Drosophila melanogaster: one gene and its partners. Changing the gene in region 1 together with any one later gene gives a genetic interaction. Each region holds a gene or a part of one and is shown in the gene's direction. Other genes may lie near its edges.

Region 1 (6,293 bases):
AGACACAAATTAGCATAATTTTTAAAGTTTGCTTTTCGAAATATCAATGGAAGTTCAATCTGATCTGATCAGAATGTTTGAACATATTTTTGAAAATCAAATATTTATGCTACCTTTTTCTAACTTTTCATGTCAAACTATTTAAGTACTAAATAAAGTTCCATAAATCTTAATGAAGTGAATGGACAGAGCAAATAAAATAAAATTATCACCAATTACTAGGATGGTCGTAAAAAATGGAATAGTTAGTACACGCTTTTTAAGCGTTTCCAAAATTTCTCCAATTGCTGGAACAACCCTCCTTAGATAGGCAAATGCATACCTCAAAGCATTTTCAGAACTGTGTCATGCTTATCAGATTGTCAACGTTTGCTCTCTATTAGCCTAATCACTTTTTAAACATTATTCTCTTGGGATGTTCCCCGTGAACTACGCCGTAATGAGCAAATTTTCTTCTATAACTAATATTTTAACTTTTCCAGGCACGATGATACCCAAATCAGGCGGAGATTATGCCTATATAGGCACTGCATTTGGTCCTCTGCCTGCGTTCCTTTATCTGTGGGTGGCCCTGCTGATCCTGGTGCCCACGGGCAATGCGATTACGGCTCTGACTTTTGCCATATATCTGCTGAAACCTTTTTGGCCTTCCTGCGACGCGCCCATTGAAGCTGTTCAGCTGCTGGCGGCTGCCATGATATGTAAGATTCGCTGATAGCTAATCGGTGGTGAGACTAGGCATAGACTATATTGACTAATTGCTTGATCTTCCACCCTAGGTGTGCTGACGCTTATCAATTGCTATAATGTTAAGTGGGTTACGCGTGTGACGGACATCTTTACGGGCACCAAGGTGGTTGCCCTCCTGGTGATCGTTGGCGCCGGAGTCTGGTGGTTGTTCGATGGAAACACAGAGCACTGGGATAATCCCTTCTCGGGAGGCCTTCAAGATCCTGGATATATAGCCCTGGCCTTCTATAGCGGCCTCTTCTCGTACTCCGGCTGGAACTATTTGAACTTTGTAACAGAGGAGCTCAAGGATCCGTACCGAAACCTGCCCAAGGCCATTTGCATCTCAATGCCGGTGGTCACGGTCATCTATATGATCACGAATATTGCATACTTTTCGGTTCTCTCGCCAGACGAGATCCTTTCGTCAGATGCAGTGGCAGTCACGTTTGGCGACAAGATGCTGGGGTATATGTCCTGGATTATGCCCTTCGCTGTGGCCTGCTCCACTTTTGGTTCGCTGAATGGAGCGATCTTCGCGTCCTCGCGACTTTTCTTCGTCGGTGCAAGGAATGGTCACCTGCCGGCCGCCATTTCGCTGATTAACGTTAATTGCCTGACACCTGTGCCCTCGCTGATATTCCTGGTAAGTTAGAGGCTTAACCTAAGTAAAGAATCTATAAATATTTGTTTTTATCAAATTATCATGTTCTTTTCTTTTTTTAATTTCCCAGGGCGTGCTCACCTTGCTGCTGCTGTTCATCGAGGACGTCTACGTACTAATCAACTACGTCAGCTACGTGGAGGCGTTGTTCACGCTGATCTCGGTATCCGGACTGCTGTGGATGCGCTACAAGCAACCCAAGACGGAGCGACCCATCAAGGTCAACTTGGCGCTGCCCATCATCTATCTGATCGTCTGCCTGTTCCTGGTCATCTTCTCTTGCACGCAGACGCCATATGTGGTAGGAATCGGGACGATCATTATACTGTCTGGAATTCCGGTCTACTACCTGACCATCCACAAACCGGTCAAATGGCTGGCGGACACTTCGCAGGCGATCAACCTGTGGTGCTCCAAATTCTTCATCTGTATGCCCAACCAGGAGAAGTTCGACTAGGACTGCAGGACTCTACGACTTTGGGAAGAGAGGGCCTTTTGTGGATGTATCGATCAACGCAACTATAGAAGGGAATATCTTGTAGTTAGGATAAGTCTCAATTTACCCCTAAGATAGGTTAGCAACGCGAAATTTTGAAAACCTACGCACAACATTACAAAAGTGTTATTGTAAATAACTCAAATGCATTCTGGTAGGGAAGTCCCTGCTTCAATTAATATTATTTGTTAGTCGTACTTTTAATGTATATTTCAAACCCAAAAAAAATGAGTTCCTCGTCGAAAGCAGAAGTACGCCTGTTATACAAAATGCGAACCAATTTTTACATATTATACAAGTAATTAGGAGCTTATTCAGTAAGTAATAATTATTATTGATGCAACTTTTTGCGAAATGTAAAAAATCGAATTTGTTTTGTATAAGAAAGTTAATAATAAACACATTAAACTTTAATCTTATTACTTTTTGTGAAGTGGGCGGAAATTGGCATTTTAAAGGTAAAAAAGTAACTTATATCATTTCGCATGGTATCTATTTAAAGTATCATAATTATCTACCACAATATTTATTAATTTTTTTAAATATTTTCATTTTCTAGTTATTTTTCCTACTCCAGCGAGTTCTAAAACTCACTACTTGATGAAAGCGCCTTTACAACGCCTTTAGGTATGCAATCTTTTTCTTCATAGTTACAATCTACCGGATAGTTTTTAGTATAAAGTATTGTTGCTTAATAATAACATTTAGCCAGATTCTTAAGATTATGAAAGGAAAGTGTAAAACTTTAGTATTTTCAATTTAAAGGCTGAGTACACTATTTAATGTGAGTTTAGCCGATGAACAGGTTAATCGACTTTATTAATTTTTGGCGCTCAAATTTGATGGTCCGGCGAAAGCTTTTCCAAAGCTCAATCCAAATGACAGTTAAGTTTGTAGCGAGTGCGCAGAGCGATGAGTTGCCCGCCCAGTGGGCGAAGGAGAGAGGGAGAAAGGAGAACGCGCCGACGCTCGTCGAACCGAAAGTCGTATAAAACGTTGCGTGGGCGAAACTGTCATTTCAAAAGACCGTTGAACGGGATCGGTAGTTGGCTGCAGTGTTACGGATCGCACGCGTCTGTAAAAACTCGAAAAAATCCCGGTGAAGCCCCCAGTGAAATGACGAGTGACCAGTAGATAACCGGGTTCAATAAAACGAATAGAATAAAACGAAAAGAGAAATACTATCTACCACCACCTGAGTGTTCAGTCCATTACGATGGCCCAAAAGCAGGTGCTAGTCTTAAACCTATTTTGCCTGGGCTCACTATTTTTCAAAACAGTGCCAGCTTCCACGGAATACAACAAATACGTGGCGCAGATATTTCAAAAATACGGCAACGGCGGGACAATCAACTTTGAGGTAATAACCAATAAACCATCGAACTAGCCTTGTAAACACACACAAGAGCGTAATTTGAGCACAGGTAAACACAGGTAAACAAAGTCGGACACGGGACAAAGCTTTTGCGGTTAGCGTTATGGCAAAAAATTAGTGAGTTTGTGTCTTCTTTTTTTTCTCTCGTTTTTGTCATTTTTGGGCCAGCAACAAAAACAATGTGTGGGAGGGGGGGGGGTGTTCTCATATGATTACGAGTTAATCAAATATTTGGGCATTGTGAAAGTGAAACAATTGTGTTCTGGCCAACTCGGCTTGATCGGGCAACCAAAACACTCTCAACAGCGATTATCGCGTCACTTTTAAAAGGTTGTAATCTTTATATGCGCGCAGCAATTTTATAACACAGTGGGCAGACAGCAGGCACTTCGTATGATACAAAACGTAGACTTTATTGCTGGCATTATCATAAATTTAATCAAAATCCAGACTAACGAGCAGCACAGGCACAGTGAGATGTACAGTACGAGACTTGAGCATCAACACGACGAACAACACCCACCCCCCGCCCAAGACATCCTTCTATATCCACGTCGGAGATTACGAGATGATAAGCCCGATAAGACTGCTTGCTCCTCCTCCTAATGGGCGCACACTGGATGCCCGATAAACCAAAGATACAAAAGCAACCGCAACTTTCGCAACGCGATCGTTATGCTTATGGACTCCAAAGCTATAGTCCGTCCGATTCCGAACAATCGGAGCCAATTGACATTACTCATGCGTATGGGCTACGCAATACGGTGTGTCCATTTGAATGGCAAGCCGCTACTAAAAATGTTTTTACTTTTTACGCACTCGGCATACTAACATTAAGGGTTGGATGCCCGATGCCCCATGTCTCATGTCCCATGCCCACCCAACCGTCTCGTATTCTATCATCATTCTAATATTCCAAATTTGATTACATATAGCACACTTGGCACACAAACAAATCTCAGCTGAATGAAAGTAAAATTCGCCATTTGGTGGCTTCATGAGCTACATAATAAATAGTTTTTTTTTTTTGTGTGTGCCAGCGCGTGTGTGTCTAATGTTTGTTCATATGCAAATTCCGCCATCCTGATCTTGGGAATCTGGGCAATTCTTTGGAGCCACTCATCACACGCCGGACACACGCCCCGATCCCCGGCGACAGGTCGCTGTCGAGGCAATTAGATGGGGCTCCACCGCCGCCCCGGGGAATCTCCACCCACTTTAGCGACAGCAAATATGCGACAGAATGGAGGAATAACAATAAACAAATGAATTCAGATGTAAATATAATTGCCTGGCACGTTGACAAGTAAATCAAGTAATTATCGGTGATAGATCGCAGCCAGAGTATATACTTTGACAAATTAGTTAAATAAATAGCAAATGCGATCGATTTGTCGGCGTGAAATTTCGTGGATAGCTACTGTGAAAAATGTGCAGCAGGTTAAGGTTTGTTTTTAAAAACGATTTCAGGACGCTCACCGAAAACAAAACAGCTGGCAGTTGTTTTGTTGCGTTTACTCCAGCTACTTCGAGATTAATTGTTGTTTTTAAATGGGTTTTAAAACTTCAAGGTTGCACTTACTGTTTAAATAGTTTAGGGAAATCACAACTATCTAAAACTATTGAATTATCAAACTTTCTGAGAATTTGTGCATAGATATTTGTAAGTCTATTTATCATTGCCAATGTTATTTTAATACCTATTATCAAATACTTAATTATCGTTAAAAGAAAATAGTTTGTCTACAATTATTGAAGCATAATGCTATCTGTCCTTATCATTAGATAGTTTACTTATATTTTGCGCCTTGCAATAACGTGTGCCTTAATCACACTTGTTTTACTTTGGTTTTGTATCTTGGAAAACTTCCAGATAACGTCTAAGTGCTCTCTAAATATGCTGTAATGCTGCTTTAAATGCCTATTAAATGAGGAACTAAAATATTTTCCAGGGTCTTGAGCATTTGATGTTCAGCCTGAACTTGGGTCAAATCCAATTCGATCCCTCGCACACGATCGATCAGCATCGACCTCAGGGATACTCGAACGAGATGCCGCATGCCACAAATGTAACGTATTACTTTGAGCCGACACGAGTCAATGCCACCGATGAGGAAGCTTTGGAGCTGCAAATCTCTCCTCGTGGCAATCACTCAAATTCACAGTCGGAGGCCGAGGTTCCGGAGTTCCTAGAAATTCATGACCCCAAGCACCGACATCCGAGGGAGAGTTCTGGTGAGTGGCGTCGTTTAATATTTAATGAAGATGTGCACCAGTCTTATCTTAATGGTCGGGGATTTCGCACTTTATTTCCAACCGTATTACTGTATGTATTTGCCGACCATCAGCTATGACTGATAATACCTAAGCTACGCCAGGATAGACAACATGGTCATAAATCTTAGGATAATTTGTTTTAACACTTATTCCGGTTCTCCAGAATCCACCAGGTCTGAGAAATTCCAAAAAATACGCGGATTGAAGCTCACTTGACTGGCAGTTAATAACAAGCATATATACATGATAAAACACCAGCCACCTGTGGCACAATACAAAATTGAGCCCGGCAGAAGTATAGTATATATATATAGTATAAATAGATGAAGCCCTCGACTTGACTCGACTCTTTCCATCAATTGGCCGATTTCCAAGTGCAAGGCGACCGGCGACTGCGGTCTATCATCAATTCAATTATGCCATCCCATCCTCCATCCCATCTCATTTGGTTGATAGGAAGTTCCGTCTGTGATCGTGGCCTTGTCGCATAAATTATCATTACCATGTATGTGCGTATATATACTTAGTATCAGATGCGTTTTTCTTTCTCCTTTTGGGCCGTAAATGTAGCCGTAAATCAACAGGTAGGAAAGATCATTGTCAGCAGGCGACGAAAACAGGGCGATAGCACGATAAACGGACGCATTATGGATGCGGAAATCCAAAAGAAAACAACAATTGAACGGATTCAGATACAGATACAGATACAAAACGAGAAACAAACAGGCCTCAATCGCTTCGCTTGTTATTTA
Region 2 (6,293 bases), on another chromosome or scaffold:
ATATAATTTATTTTTTTAAGATTTCCTGTTCATATAGAGCTTCCAGCTTCTTTATATAATCTTCGTTGCAACTTTCATCTTGGCAGTCGGTTAAAAGGAACTGCTTCAGCAGATCGAAACACTTTTGCTTCATGGCTAACGCGTTTCGCTGTTGGCTTTCTTTTTGCCTGTCCAACTGGTCCTCATACTTTTGAATAAGCCTCTGCTTAAGCTTCTTAATCTTCTCACTGATAGTGTCTTTTAGGAAAGGCTTCTGGCTTTCGTAGGCATGTCTGCACATTTTCTGCACTATTTGCTTCAGTTCGTAGTCCATATTCTTAAAATGATCATTAAGTTTCTCATCGTCCGCAAATGGCGCAAATATTTGCGATATTAAATGATCGGGAAACGTATCGGGCGTTTGGGATTGCAGACTCTCTCGGGCTGCTACCATTATTGTTTTCTTTATGCTCTGACTGAAGCTCAGCTTTTGGCTGCTCTGCAATTTAAGATTCTCGATCGTTTGCTTCTGATGTCTTGTTTGAATTTGCAGAACAACGAGCTTCAGTTTGAGCTCATTAACCTTGCGATCCAATTGGTCGTGCTCATCTATGAGGTTCTTTTGCTCGTAAATAGCTCTCGAAGGAAACTCATCTTCTTCCGATTCTCCTATATACTCCGGATTTGTGAAGGAAGCGCTTTGATTACCCATTTCGGTTAACTTGTGGTCCATATCCGTGTCCTGCCCGTATGTAGAGAGGTCTACTTCTTTTTCCGACCGCTGAAACTTTTCTGCTTTCGAGGAGAACGGGTGATTCTCCTGGAAGACGTGGCCCTCCGTTCGCGGATCTCTGCTACTCAGGATCTTGAGGGCTTTGTATAGGTTTGGATGCTTACCATTGCACGACTTGTAGGCCGTGGTGGACAGCTGGTGATCCAGGGCGCTGTCGTAGAAAGTGTTGTCGCCCACATAGATGCTGTTTCTCTTGTCCGGCGAGGATTCAAACGACGTGGAGGCGGATACGTCCATGGTCGTGTTCAGTTGGGTCAGTTGGAGGCCTGGAAGAATCGGTTGCTAGTGGAAATTCGGTTTCGGTTGCTGGCGAGGCGACGTTTAAACATCTGGCGAAGAACTGTGGAGTACCCAGAGTTGAAGAGCGATTATCAGAGACATGTATATAGATAATACGTTTGCCTTACTCTCTGCAAACTGCAAATTTGTTTTACTTTTCTGCCTACGTGTCGTACATTGCCAGTTGATTATGTTCAGTCGGGTTTTCTCGACTGACTTTAAAGTCTGCGCCACACACGCACACACATTTGTGCTCCACATATTTGCCTTAGAATTTGTGTAATTCACCTGGGCATTCTGTGTTTTCTTAATTTACTCACCTGAAAATTTGTGTTTAGTGTGGGTGTTGTTGCACTGCTGGATGTTTGGGGCACATTGGCAGAGGCCTTAATTGACGACTGTCTGCTGATTGAAAACTCAATTTGATTGGCGCTGATTACGTTTTTGATTCAATGCGTGCTCTTAATTTAAATAAAAACCCAAAAAACTAAAGAAATTAAATTGTGATTAAATTCTTCTTGCTAGCGTCGACCAGTGTTGCCTAATGCTTAAAATGCAATTATAAGAGCGACTCTAGTGCAAGAAACGAGTAATCGATTCTGGTTCGATAGGCAACGACTTCGATAAGGCGCAAATTAAACTAGTTGTAAAGGTTTTACGCTATATGTTGTATGCAAGAAAATCAACATAATTTAGCTATAAATATAGGCTACACTTATTTTTAATTATAAGTCCAAATTTCTTAGTGCATAGGAGTGGAATAACTAATTTTATATCAGTTTTTGGAATGCCCCTAACATGTCCGTGGTATTATTATTTAGTAACGTCAGGGTCACACTTTTGTTTTGTTTTGCTTTGCAACTTGACTTTTAAAATTGCAATTGCAGCATGGCCGAAGAACCCGAGGAACCCGCCAAGGTATGGATTACATAAATCTATTGGACATCAGGTGCCTGATTAAGCTTTAACTATGTTTAATCTCCCATAGAGCTTCGTTATCTTCGGACGCGATGTGGCGCAGATCCCGTGCTTTCGTAACAGTTTTCTCTACGGAATCAGCGGAGGAATCGGCATCGGCTTGCTGACTTTTCTGGGCACCTCGCGAACCCACCTGTCCACCCACGTGGGCTTCGGCTCCTTCTTCTGCGGCACCATCGCCTACTGGATGACCTGCAGGTAAGTGACTGTGATTAAAACCGTGCGGCGCCCTTATCACTTAATTATCAATGTGGCATCCGCAGGTATCAATGGTCCGTCAGGAGATTCGAGCAGCAGCAATTGCGTGAGGCGATGAGACGACAAGCCCTTTATGAGGGCACCCAAAGGGAGAGAGACTTAGATCTGAAGTCGGCGTAGCATAAGTCAGATCCTTCATTACTACTTCGATGTTTGTTTTCACTCTAGGATACCAAGTAATCCTGGCATTGTTAAATCCCTTGTGTTGTAAACTACCTTTTGTTACCAAACTTTATAGTAGCCAATATATTATATATATGTTGTAAGTGAAATCTTAGCTTGCCACTCGTAGGGAATTAATTATGCCACCATCTTTGATTTGGGATTGACAGAAATCAATCCATCATTTTAATGATTGTGGTTCCTAAAACCTGTTGGGCTTTATTGTGCTTTCGATTTGATTTAAGCTGATAGAGCTAGTTGTTTACTTTTGAAGAACCTTGAACCCATTTTGACGACCTTTTAACTTTTTAATAGTTTTTTTTTACCATTTACATAAAAGCAAAATTTACAGTCTAAAAGTTGTATATTCAATACGTTCTGGTACGTAAAAGGGTTATTTAATGCACCATTTTTACAACTTTAGATAGTATACTTTTTACTTGAGTGGGAGCCATATCACAAAAATGAAATGAAAGGTTAAAAAAGTATCTAAAAGTAAGTTTCAATTAATATTCTGAAAAATAATTGCATTTCATGTACGTTTCTCTGAAATACCCCTAATTCGATACTATTTATAAATCTGGAAGATATATAGCTAGGAAATAGATTTATATATTTGCCTAGTTTGAACACCTTGTGAACATTTTGTTTAAAAAAAAAGCGTATCGTGGTACTAGAAAACTTTAAGATACAGATAAATAACTTCACTATACCGAGGTTTTGGTGTTTCTTGAGACTGAAGGACAATCTTCAAAATGGTCTTAATTCTTGAGATAGAAAAGCTGCAGTTCTCATGCTGAATAGTGATCAGTACGATTTTATCTGACAGATTGCTTTCCTAGCTGACCACACCGATCTCGGATGGGTATCTGCTCTAATCCGAGATAGCAGGTAGTAGAACTGCTGCCTCGTAACCCCTAGACATGGCCATTTCCACGCACATGTAGGCGATCCTGCACTCGTCGGTCGCTCGTCTTATCTCACAAAAATAAAAGTCGGCGTTTGGATGGATTGCTCGGCTGGCTGTTGGCACATTCATTACGTTTTCGTTGACGGCGCGAGACGGTTGTGTTGTTTTTTAATCGGCGGGCACATGAGGTTGTCGGTTCTCTAATTTTGAAATAAAAAACTTGTTTTCGCTTTACATTCAAGGAACGCACCTCCTCCCCTCCATATATGTAAACGAGCTTCGTAATTGCAGGCTAACACTTATATAGGCATTGGTACTGAGATACAGCGAGATACCGTGAGCTACAGATACATAGCACTTCACGATGTCTAACTCGGTTTTGGTGTTTTTCGTGAATGGAAAGAAGGTACTTAAAGATACTCGGATGCCTTGCGTGTCTTTCCTTAAAGTCGGCCCACTCCTACTATATCGATTCCCTTTATTGTTTTATTGCCCTAATTGCGTTTAACTGGCATTCGATGGAATTTGCCTTCTTGCTCAATTGAATGTGTCGAATGTATATAGTATTTGCTGTGCATATAGTGATAACAATTGACCCCCATGTGAAGCCTCGTTGTTTGCTGGTGGCCCCTTATCGCCCGATCAAGATGGTGCACTTGCCAATCGCGCATGGGAGCAGTGCTACTCGGATGTGGGTGAGCTGGGATCGTCATGGGCATTTGTGTCTGCCAGATAGCCAGGCCCTCTAATCCGCACATTCCCACCGGCTGTGCGGTGTTTACAATCCAGTGAGCTCGGCTGGATTATTCAGATAAAGCTGGCCATATTTAGCATCTGGTGTTGGTGGAGTGCAGTTGGAGTTCTTTACTTTGTGCTCACAGCTTGCGCACAAGTGAAGTAAATAATAATAAATAACCAGTTGCTCGTGCGCCCGGCATTTGATAGTGATAGATAGCAATCTCTGTTTGCTCAGGGCTGGCAGAGCAGATAACACTTTCGCTGTTTTAAGTTTAAACAAAGTCACAGTTTTGACAAACAATTGCTTTAAACCATATAAACTTATAATTATAGCAATTATAATTAAGTAGGTACAGATCTTAAAGCTACAAGATACAAGATACAAATTTTCCCATTAATGGATAAATGGCATTAGATACTTTTGGGAAATTGATTTCGTTTTTTTCATTTTATTATATTTATACATTTCTTATTCCAGGTGACCGAAGTGTCGCCTGATCCGGAGTGCACGCTCCTCACATTCCTGCGCGAAAAGCTGCGGCTGTGCGGAACGAAGTTGGGATGTGCGGAAGGCGGATGCGGCGCCTGCACCGTGATGGTGTCCCGCCTAGACCGTCGGGCCAACAAGATACGTCACCTGGCGGTCAACGCCTGCCTGACGCCAGTGTGCTCGATGCACGGATGTGCGGTGACCACTGTGGAGGGTATAGGGAGCACCAAAACGCGTCTGCATCCGGTGCAGGAGCGACTGGCCAAGGCGCACGGATCCCAGTGCGGCTTCTGCACGCCGGGCATTGTGATGTCCATGTACGCACTTCTGCGGAACGCGGAGCAACCCTCTATGCGAGACTTGGAGGTGGCATTCCAAGGTAACCTGTGCCGCTGCACCGGCTATCGACCCATTCTCGAGGGCTACAAGACGTTCACCAAGGAGTTTGCCTGCGGAATGGGCGAGAAGTGCTGCAAAGTTAGTGGGAAAGGATGCGGAACCGATGCGGAGACCGATGACAAGCTCTTCGAGCGCAGCGAATTCCAGCCCTTGGATCCCAGCCAGGAACCCATCTTCCCACCGGAACTTCAGCTGAGTGACGCCTTCGATTCTCAGAGTTTGATCTTTAGTTCGGATAGGGTGACCTGGTATCGTCCCACCAATCTGGAGGAGCTGCTTCAGCTGAAGGCCAAACATCCGGCTGCCAAGCTGGTCGTGGGCAATACGGAAGTGGGCGTTGAGGTTAAGTTCAAGCACTTCCTCTACCCGCACCTCATTAATCCCACCCAGGTGAAGGAGCTGCTGGAGATCAAAGAGAACCAGGATGGCATTTACTTCGGTGCGGCTGTCAGTTTGATGGAGATCGATGCGCTTCTGCGGCAGAGAATCGAGCAGCTGCCGGAATCGGAGACCAGATTGTTCCAGTGCACCGTGGATATGCTTCACTACTTTGCCGGCAAGCAGATCCGCAACGTCGCCTGTTTGGGTGGAAACATCATGACCGGTAGTCCCATTTCCGATATGAATCCTGTGCTCTCGGCAGCAGGAGCTCAACTGGAGGTGGCCAGTTTTGTGGATGGAAAGCTCCAAAAGAGATCAGTTCACATGGGAACTGGGTTCTTCACTGGCTATCGCAGGAATGTTATCGAAGCCCACGAGGTGCTGCTGGGCATCCACTTTCGGAAGACCACTCCGGACCAGTATATCGTTGCTTTTAAGCAGGCCAGGAGAAGGGATGATGACATAGCCATCGTAAATGCCGCAATAAACGTTCGCTTTGAGGAAAAATCCAACATTGTGGCGGAGATCTCGATGGCTTTTGGTGGAATGGCACCAACCACAGTGCTCGCTCCTCGAACTTCCCAACTGATGGTTGGGCAGGAGTGGAGCCACCAGCTCGTGGAGCGCGTGGCGGAGAGCTTGTGCACGGAGCTGCCTTTGGCTGCCTCCGCTCCGGGTGGCATGATCGCCTATCGTCGAGCTCTGGTGGTGAGCCTGTTCTTCAAGGCCTATCTGGCCATTTCCCTGAAGCTGAGCAAGTCAGGGATCACATCTTCCGATGCTCTGCCATCGGAGGAGCGAAGTGGTGCCGAGACATTCCACACACCAGTACTCAAAAGTGCCCAGCTCTTCGAGCGCGTCTGCAGCGATCAACCCATCTGTGATCCCATTGGGAGACCAAAAGTTCATGCGGCTGCTTTGAAACA
Region 3 (6,293 bases), on another chromosome or scaffold:
ATCTCACGTAAAAGAAAACGTATCGAAAAACAAGGTATTCCTTCCGTATTCCACGTGCAAACAATATAAACTCCCAAGCTCCGACTTCGCATGCTCAATGGAGCCCTAACCAAGTCTAACCCTCCGTAGGAGCTCTGTTCTGTGCCCAGAATCGAATCCTGACAGCACTAAACCAGGCTTTCATCGTATTACGACCAAACTAAATGATGAGATTTCTGCATGCCCTTCCTTTGCTGTTGATAAACAATTTGCGTTCCAAATTTCTAGAATTCACTGGAATTTAGTTTGGACGGGAATACCTTTTTGTTACGGCGTTTTCTTTGCCTCTTACACTATAGCTAACCGATTCTCAAGCTTGGCTCTAATTATAAACACTAATTACTACTGGGTAACTACTGACCTACCATGTATTTTCGGCAGACAAAATCAACTGCAACATATGCGACCAGATACTAGAGGGCTTGGAACTGATCGATGACGAATGCGACGTGTTCGGAATTCATATGGTCAAGATCCAGGATCCGCAGCTGGCAAAACGTTACTCGATCAAGACTTTCCCGGCGTTGGTTTATTTCAGGTAAGTGTCAAGATTGCCTATCAACTAAACTTCTAAGGCATCTGAACTTGTGTGCAGAAATGGAAACCCATTACTGTTTGAGGGGGATCTTCAGAACGAGCAATCAGTATTGGAATGGCTCATCGATGATGACAACCGCGAGCTGGCTGATGAAATCGAGGAGGTCAACGAGCGTATGCTGGATCGCCTAATGGCGGAGTCCACTCTATTGGTTGTTTTCTTTTGTGAGTATCACAGCTTGAATGAATTACAAAATGGTCTTAAAAACTCATCACACACTTATGTAGACGACGATGATTGTGCTGAGTGCGAGGAGATTTTGGAAGAGCTGGAGGAGATCGATGGTGAGGCAGACATGTTCGGCATTGATTTCGTAAAGATTGCTAGTATCCAGGCAGCCAAGAAATACGAGATAGTGAATATACCTTCCCTCGTTTATTTCCGGTAGGTGATAGTCAAAACTATAGGTGAAGTTTTTTAACCCTTTAACACTTTAGAAAACAAGTGCCCGTCCTCTACGACGGCGATCTACACCAACACGACAAGGTGATTACCTGGCTAACATCACAGGACGTATTCGAAATCAAAAACGAAATAGAAGAAGTAAACCGAAAAATGCTCGACAAACTACTCGAGGAAAATGAGTTCTTAGCCGTTTTTTTCTGTGAGTTTACTATCCTTTCTAAAACACTTTTCGATTAGTACAAACATGTCTTTTACTTAGACGAACACAATCAGCCGGACAGTACTGCAGCGCTGGAAAAACTCGAAAACATCGACAGCGAGACGGATAACCTGGACATCACCTTCGTCAAGATGGCCGACTCTCGTTATGCCAAGAAATGGGGCGTCACCAAGCTGCCGGCAATGGTCTACTTCCGCCGTCGGTTTCCCAGCATATATAGGGGTATGTCCGTGGGAACGTGAAGGGAGCAAAGGAGAAATCTCATTCTCATTCTCGTTCTCATTCAAGGTGATCTGTTATCCGAGGACGAAGTGCTGGAGTGGCTACGCAAGAACCGCTTCCGCCAGCCCGAGCTGAACATCTTTATGTACGCTCTGATTGCTCTGGCGGTGGCCTTTGTGGTCTACACCGCCTTCCTGCTGCAGTGCTTCAAGCCGGCGCCACCGCCTCCTGTCCAGCACCCCAAGCAGTCTTGAATGGTATGGGTTGGGGAATCGGGAAGAATGTACTGAATCACGTTGAACGGCTGTCAACTACGATGGAGGGTTTTCGACAAGACACACAAAAGCGAGCGAACCAAACTTGAAATGATTATCCAAAGTCACAATAATACACGCATATCTATGCACATTAAACTGTCATCCAATCGTCTAAATTAGACGCATGAAAACCACTTGTCTGGAGACAATCCATTGCTTTTGAAATATCTTTTGAGACAACTTGATAACTTTGATAAACTCTGATGCTTCCATTAATATCAAAACTCATGTATGTCACATTTACACATTTATTTGTCTTCTCACCCGTGTACATCATGGAAATCAATTACAGAAGAACACTATCAAGTCATAGTAATTACGTTAAATTTAAATTTAAACGCCATAATATTGTGTAATAAATGTCAATAATAATTTTTACAGTAACTTATTTACGGCCTATGATACTTAATAAACTATTGGATGATGTATGTAAAATTGTTCGTTGGGTTTGTCTTATTTTGATCATGATAATGCATAGGTAAAGTCCATGGTCAATATCATTTGAATTCAATCGCGGCAATACGTAGACGTTCTGTTCTAATGGTATTAAATAATATATTTCATATTTATACCCGTTACTCGTAGAATAAGAGGTTGTACTTGACAAAACTGCCACGCCCACACTTTTGAAAAATGTTTAGATTTTTATCTGTATACCAAAAACACGGTGGCCCTCTTTTCACCTACAAAACACCCAAAACGGTCACTCCCACACTTTTAAATAATTTTTACATTTGCATTCCCCAATATCTATTGATATCCGAGAAAAATGATGAAATTTCGCATTTCCACTAGCTGACTAACAGGTATCTTATAATCGGGGAAAATTGACTTTCGCATTCTCTCTTGTTTAGTTGTTTATTTGAGAGGCATCAATGGAACGGTCAATTTAATTAATTAAGAATGCAAAATCTTAAATAACAATTACCCATATAAAATCGCATTTCTCCTTCAAAGGTTTAAGTTGTATACCCTATTTTTTGTGAAAATCAATAATTGATGCAAAAGATGACTGCTATGTGGTTGACTGCTATCTTTAAATTCAGTCTTCAAAATAAACAGGTCGTTTGTCGTGACCCTCTTGCTGACCCCATTGGTCTCTACTATCGGTTTTTTCTCTTGAAGTAAGTAATTACTCTGAGATCTTATTTATGCTTTTTATTCACAACTAGAAATAAACTAAATTAAAAAACAATGCATACAGCAGGTTGGTTTGAGCAAAGAAAAGTAAAATCAATTGCTACTTTAGTTGTGTACTTGAGAAGAAGAACGTGATTGTCAATGGAAAAATCGAAATACCTCATATTAAGAATTCAAAACCTTGCCTAGAATTAAAGGACGATGACAAATGTAATCTCCCAAACTCGTGGTTAAATAATAAGTTTATCCGTTTATCCGTTGCAATAACGCCATTATATATTCAAAAACTATTCAAAGATTACCCAACGAGTGATTTATTTTATAATTTCCTTTGCTTCACAATATTTACAGGTACAGGTACATGTTTAATCTGACTCACGAACTATGTTAGTATGGGGCATTTGGCGGTGATATCTCAATTTCGAAGTTATCAGGCGAAACTGTCTCCACAACCTAGTGATAGCACATAGATTCCTGGGTGCACAAGGCTTTGCCTGCCGTTGACAACAAATTATTTGTTTTCGCCAGCTGAAATTTCAGTCTGAAAACTCCCACTGACATTCTAATGCGGCAAAACAGACCGATGAGCTCATGCTGGGAGCCAGGGAAATAATGGCTAATGTGGCAAAATGTGTTAAATCGAAAGGTAGATAATGACCGAAAGATATCATGCCGAAATTTTGCCGTATACCTTTCGCTAAAGCACATTGCTCGGCCAACTTAAGTCGAAACCACTAAGCCCTTAATATGTGTAAATATTCGACAATTCGCCGATACCTTCCACTAACTGAATAGATATCAATTCCACTATAAAAAGTGAATGGCTTGATATCGGGCCAGTTACTCCGTTTGCAATGGTAGACCAACACTTAATCGTGGCCAAGATCGTGGCCATAGTGGTGCTCTTCCTCGTTACCCTGATCTTCTGCTTTATTCCCTATCTTCTGGATCGCTTCTACAAGTGGACCCAGAGGCCCGAGAACAATGCTCGCGAATTCAAAGTGGTGCTGTGTCTGCTTAATTTCGGTGGAGGGGTTCTCATAGCCACCACCTTCATCCACATGCTGCCGGAGGTGGTCGAGGTGGTGAACGCTCTCCAGGACTGCCGCATGCTGGCCCCCACTCCCTTCGGCCTGCCGGAGGTTCTGCTCTGCACTGGCTTCTATCTGATGTACTGCATTGAGGAAACCATGCACTTTGTGGTTCGTCGGCGGCAGCAAAGGAAGCTACGGGAGGTGGTCACGATCAAGGATGCGGGCGAGGAGCTGCGGACAGAGATTGTGGTCCAGCCAGAAGAAAGCCCCAAGGAGCCCAACTGGCTGCGTGGCCTCGGAATAATCGTGGCCCTCTCCCTGCACGAACTCTTCGGCGGCATGGCCATTGGCCTGGAGATGAGTGTGAGCACGGTGTGGTTCATGACCGGAGCCATTTCCGTCCACAAGCTTGTTCTGGCCTTCTGCATCGGCATGGAGATCATGATGGCCCATACCCGCTGGCTGCTGGCCGTGGTTTACCTCCTCGTCTTCTCGATCGTAACTCCGATTGGCGTGGGCATCGGAATTGCAGTTAGCGAATCTGCCGCGGCTAATCAGCCCAGCACGGTATCAGGAATCCTCCAGGGGCTGGCCTGTGGCACCCTCATCTACGTGGTCTTCTTTGAAATTGTGGCCAAAAACCATGCCGGCATACGCATTTTACTCTCGTCGATGGTGGGATTCGTCCTGATGTTTGGCCTCCAGATAGCAAGTAAGCATACTAAAAAGCCCAAATGACTGAAAAACCAAATTACCACTCTTATTATTTCAGTTGGAGAGGCCAAAGGGAAGAGCCATTTCACATGCCCCTAGGGTATACTCGAATTTTATATGAAAACAATTAAGCCTATAGAGAAATTCAAAGAAACTACCGAAAAATAAAGCGTGGGCTTTTTGGCTTTATAAATATGGGGAAAGAGGACGGCAAGGTCAGGTCATCGACCATGAGATACCCTTTAAACGCCCTTCTGCGAGGGAAATTTATAAGTGGCATCAACAAAAGGACATTCTCCGAGTGCGCACATTAGCTCCACCTACCGGTTGCTACATACTAATTACCAAATTGCCCATAACTTTTAAATAAATGATCCGATTCGAACAACTTTTGGCATGGAAGTTTCTGCATTTATCACACCTTTATTTTGATAAATGTAAATTTATTTTATAAACAAATTTAGTAAAATTAAAAAACAAGCGTGGCGAAATCATCTGATCCTGGTCAAGAATATTTACATATATGGCTAGAATCTTTTTAACTTTTTAAAAAATGTGCTGCGATTTTAATTCCATGCCTGCAATCCTTACCATATAAACCTAAGATGAGACCGCCTTGGATGGACAAATAAATTATCTCAGTGTATCAATAATAATAATATTCGGGAAATACTTCCGAAGTTCCTGCACATTACGAAACTTCCCTCAATCATAAAATTCGCAAAGAACAGACGGCTATGGTTCGGTTATCGGTGGGCCGACGAGAGACACCTGTCCAGGGGACGGCGAATTGATAACAATACTAGGCTGCGAGGCTTGCCCGCTGTCTGCCAGTGAATCCGCGTATCAATCAGCGATCAGATTTCAATCGGCTCCCGCTGATATATGACTGGAAATATAAACCATTAGCCTGGTTGTGAGTTCCAGCCAGCACAGTCGAAGCTATCAACTCGGGAGGTGAAGATGAGCGCTACCGCAACTATGTCACAAGAGCAAACGCAAGACGTGGATCACCATGCGCTGCTGGTGGCCAAAATAGTTTCCATGGTGGTGCTCGTGGTGATCACCGTGCTTTGCGGCAGCCTTCCCTACGTCCTGAACAGGTGCTTCCATTGGACGAAGGCGAGTCCGGAGGAAACCCGCTCGTCATTGGTGGTGCGGTGCCTACTCTTTTTCGGCGGCGGTGTGCTCATCTGCACCACCTTCCTGCACATGCTGCCCGAGGTGATCGAGGTGGTGGAAGCGCTCCAGGAATGCGGCTCGCTTGTCAAGACGCCCTTCGCTCTGGCGGAGATGCTGCTGTGCACGGGCTTTTTCCTGATGTACGCGTTGGACGAGCTGATGACCAGCCTCGTGCGGCACCACCAGGGAAAGCTTAGTCGGAAAGAGTCGGTGGCCAGTCTGGCTTTCGAAAGAGGACGCAGCATTCGTCACAGTGTTCTCCTCAATCCACAGGCGAAGGAAGAAGTGGAAGTTAAGGATACGGAACCGCAGCCACACAAGGATCACCACGGCCACTCGCACATGCCCGTGCCAGCGGACGATGGATCCTCTGCCAGGGGGCTGGGCATTATCCTCGCCCTTTCGCTCCACGAACTGTTCGA

The links.
Region 2: of Zip71B (region 1) and ry, changing one suppresses a phenotype caused by changing the other (phenotypic suppression), as found in Drosophila melanogaster (one study listed by BioGRID).
Region 3: of Zip71B (region 1) and Zip42C.2, changing one enhances a phenotype caused by changing the other (phenotypic enhancement), as found in Drosophila melanogaster (one study listed by BioGRID).

Annotation. Positions count from the first base shown.
Region 1 is NT_037436.4:14,989,367-14,995,659, forward strand, and holds the start of Zip71B (Zinc/iron regulated transporter-related protein 71B), read left to right. Parts: upstream 1-2,922; 5' UTR 2,923-3,105; coding exon 3,106-3,249; intron 3,250-5,216; coding exon 5,217-5,499; intron 5,500-6,293. Other genes in the region: mnd (minidiscs), read left to right, coding at 483-701, 780-1,375, 1,464-1,850.
Region 2 is NT_033777.3:13,029,043-13,035,335, forward strand, and holds the start of ry (rosy), read left to right. Parts: upstream 1-3,485; 5' UTR 3,486-3,723; coding exon 3,724-3,765; intron 3,766-4,575; coding exon 4,576-6,293. Other genes in the region: CG46280 (uncharacterized protein), read right to left, coding at 877-1,009; CG46281 (uncharacterized protein), read right to left, coding at 8-712; l(3)87Df (lethal (3) 87Df), read left to right, coding at 1,940-1,969, 2,040-2,227, 2,293-2,407.
Region 3 is NT_033778.4:6,717,036-6,723,328, reverse strand, and holds Zip42C.2 (Zinc/iron regulated transporter-related protein 42C.2), read left to right. Parts: upstream 1-3,795; coding exon 3,796-4,687; intron 4,688-4,747; coding exon 4,748-4,788; 3' UTR 4,789-5,133; downstream 5,134-6,293. Other genes in the region: hlk (hulk), read left to right, coding at 421-577, 635-801, 865-1,021, 1,075-1,241, 1,302-1,484, 1,551-1,738; Zip42C.1 (Zinc/iron regulated transporter-related protein 42C.1), read left to right, coding at 5,653-6,293.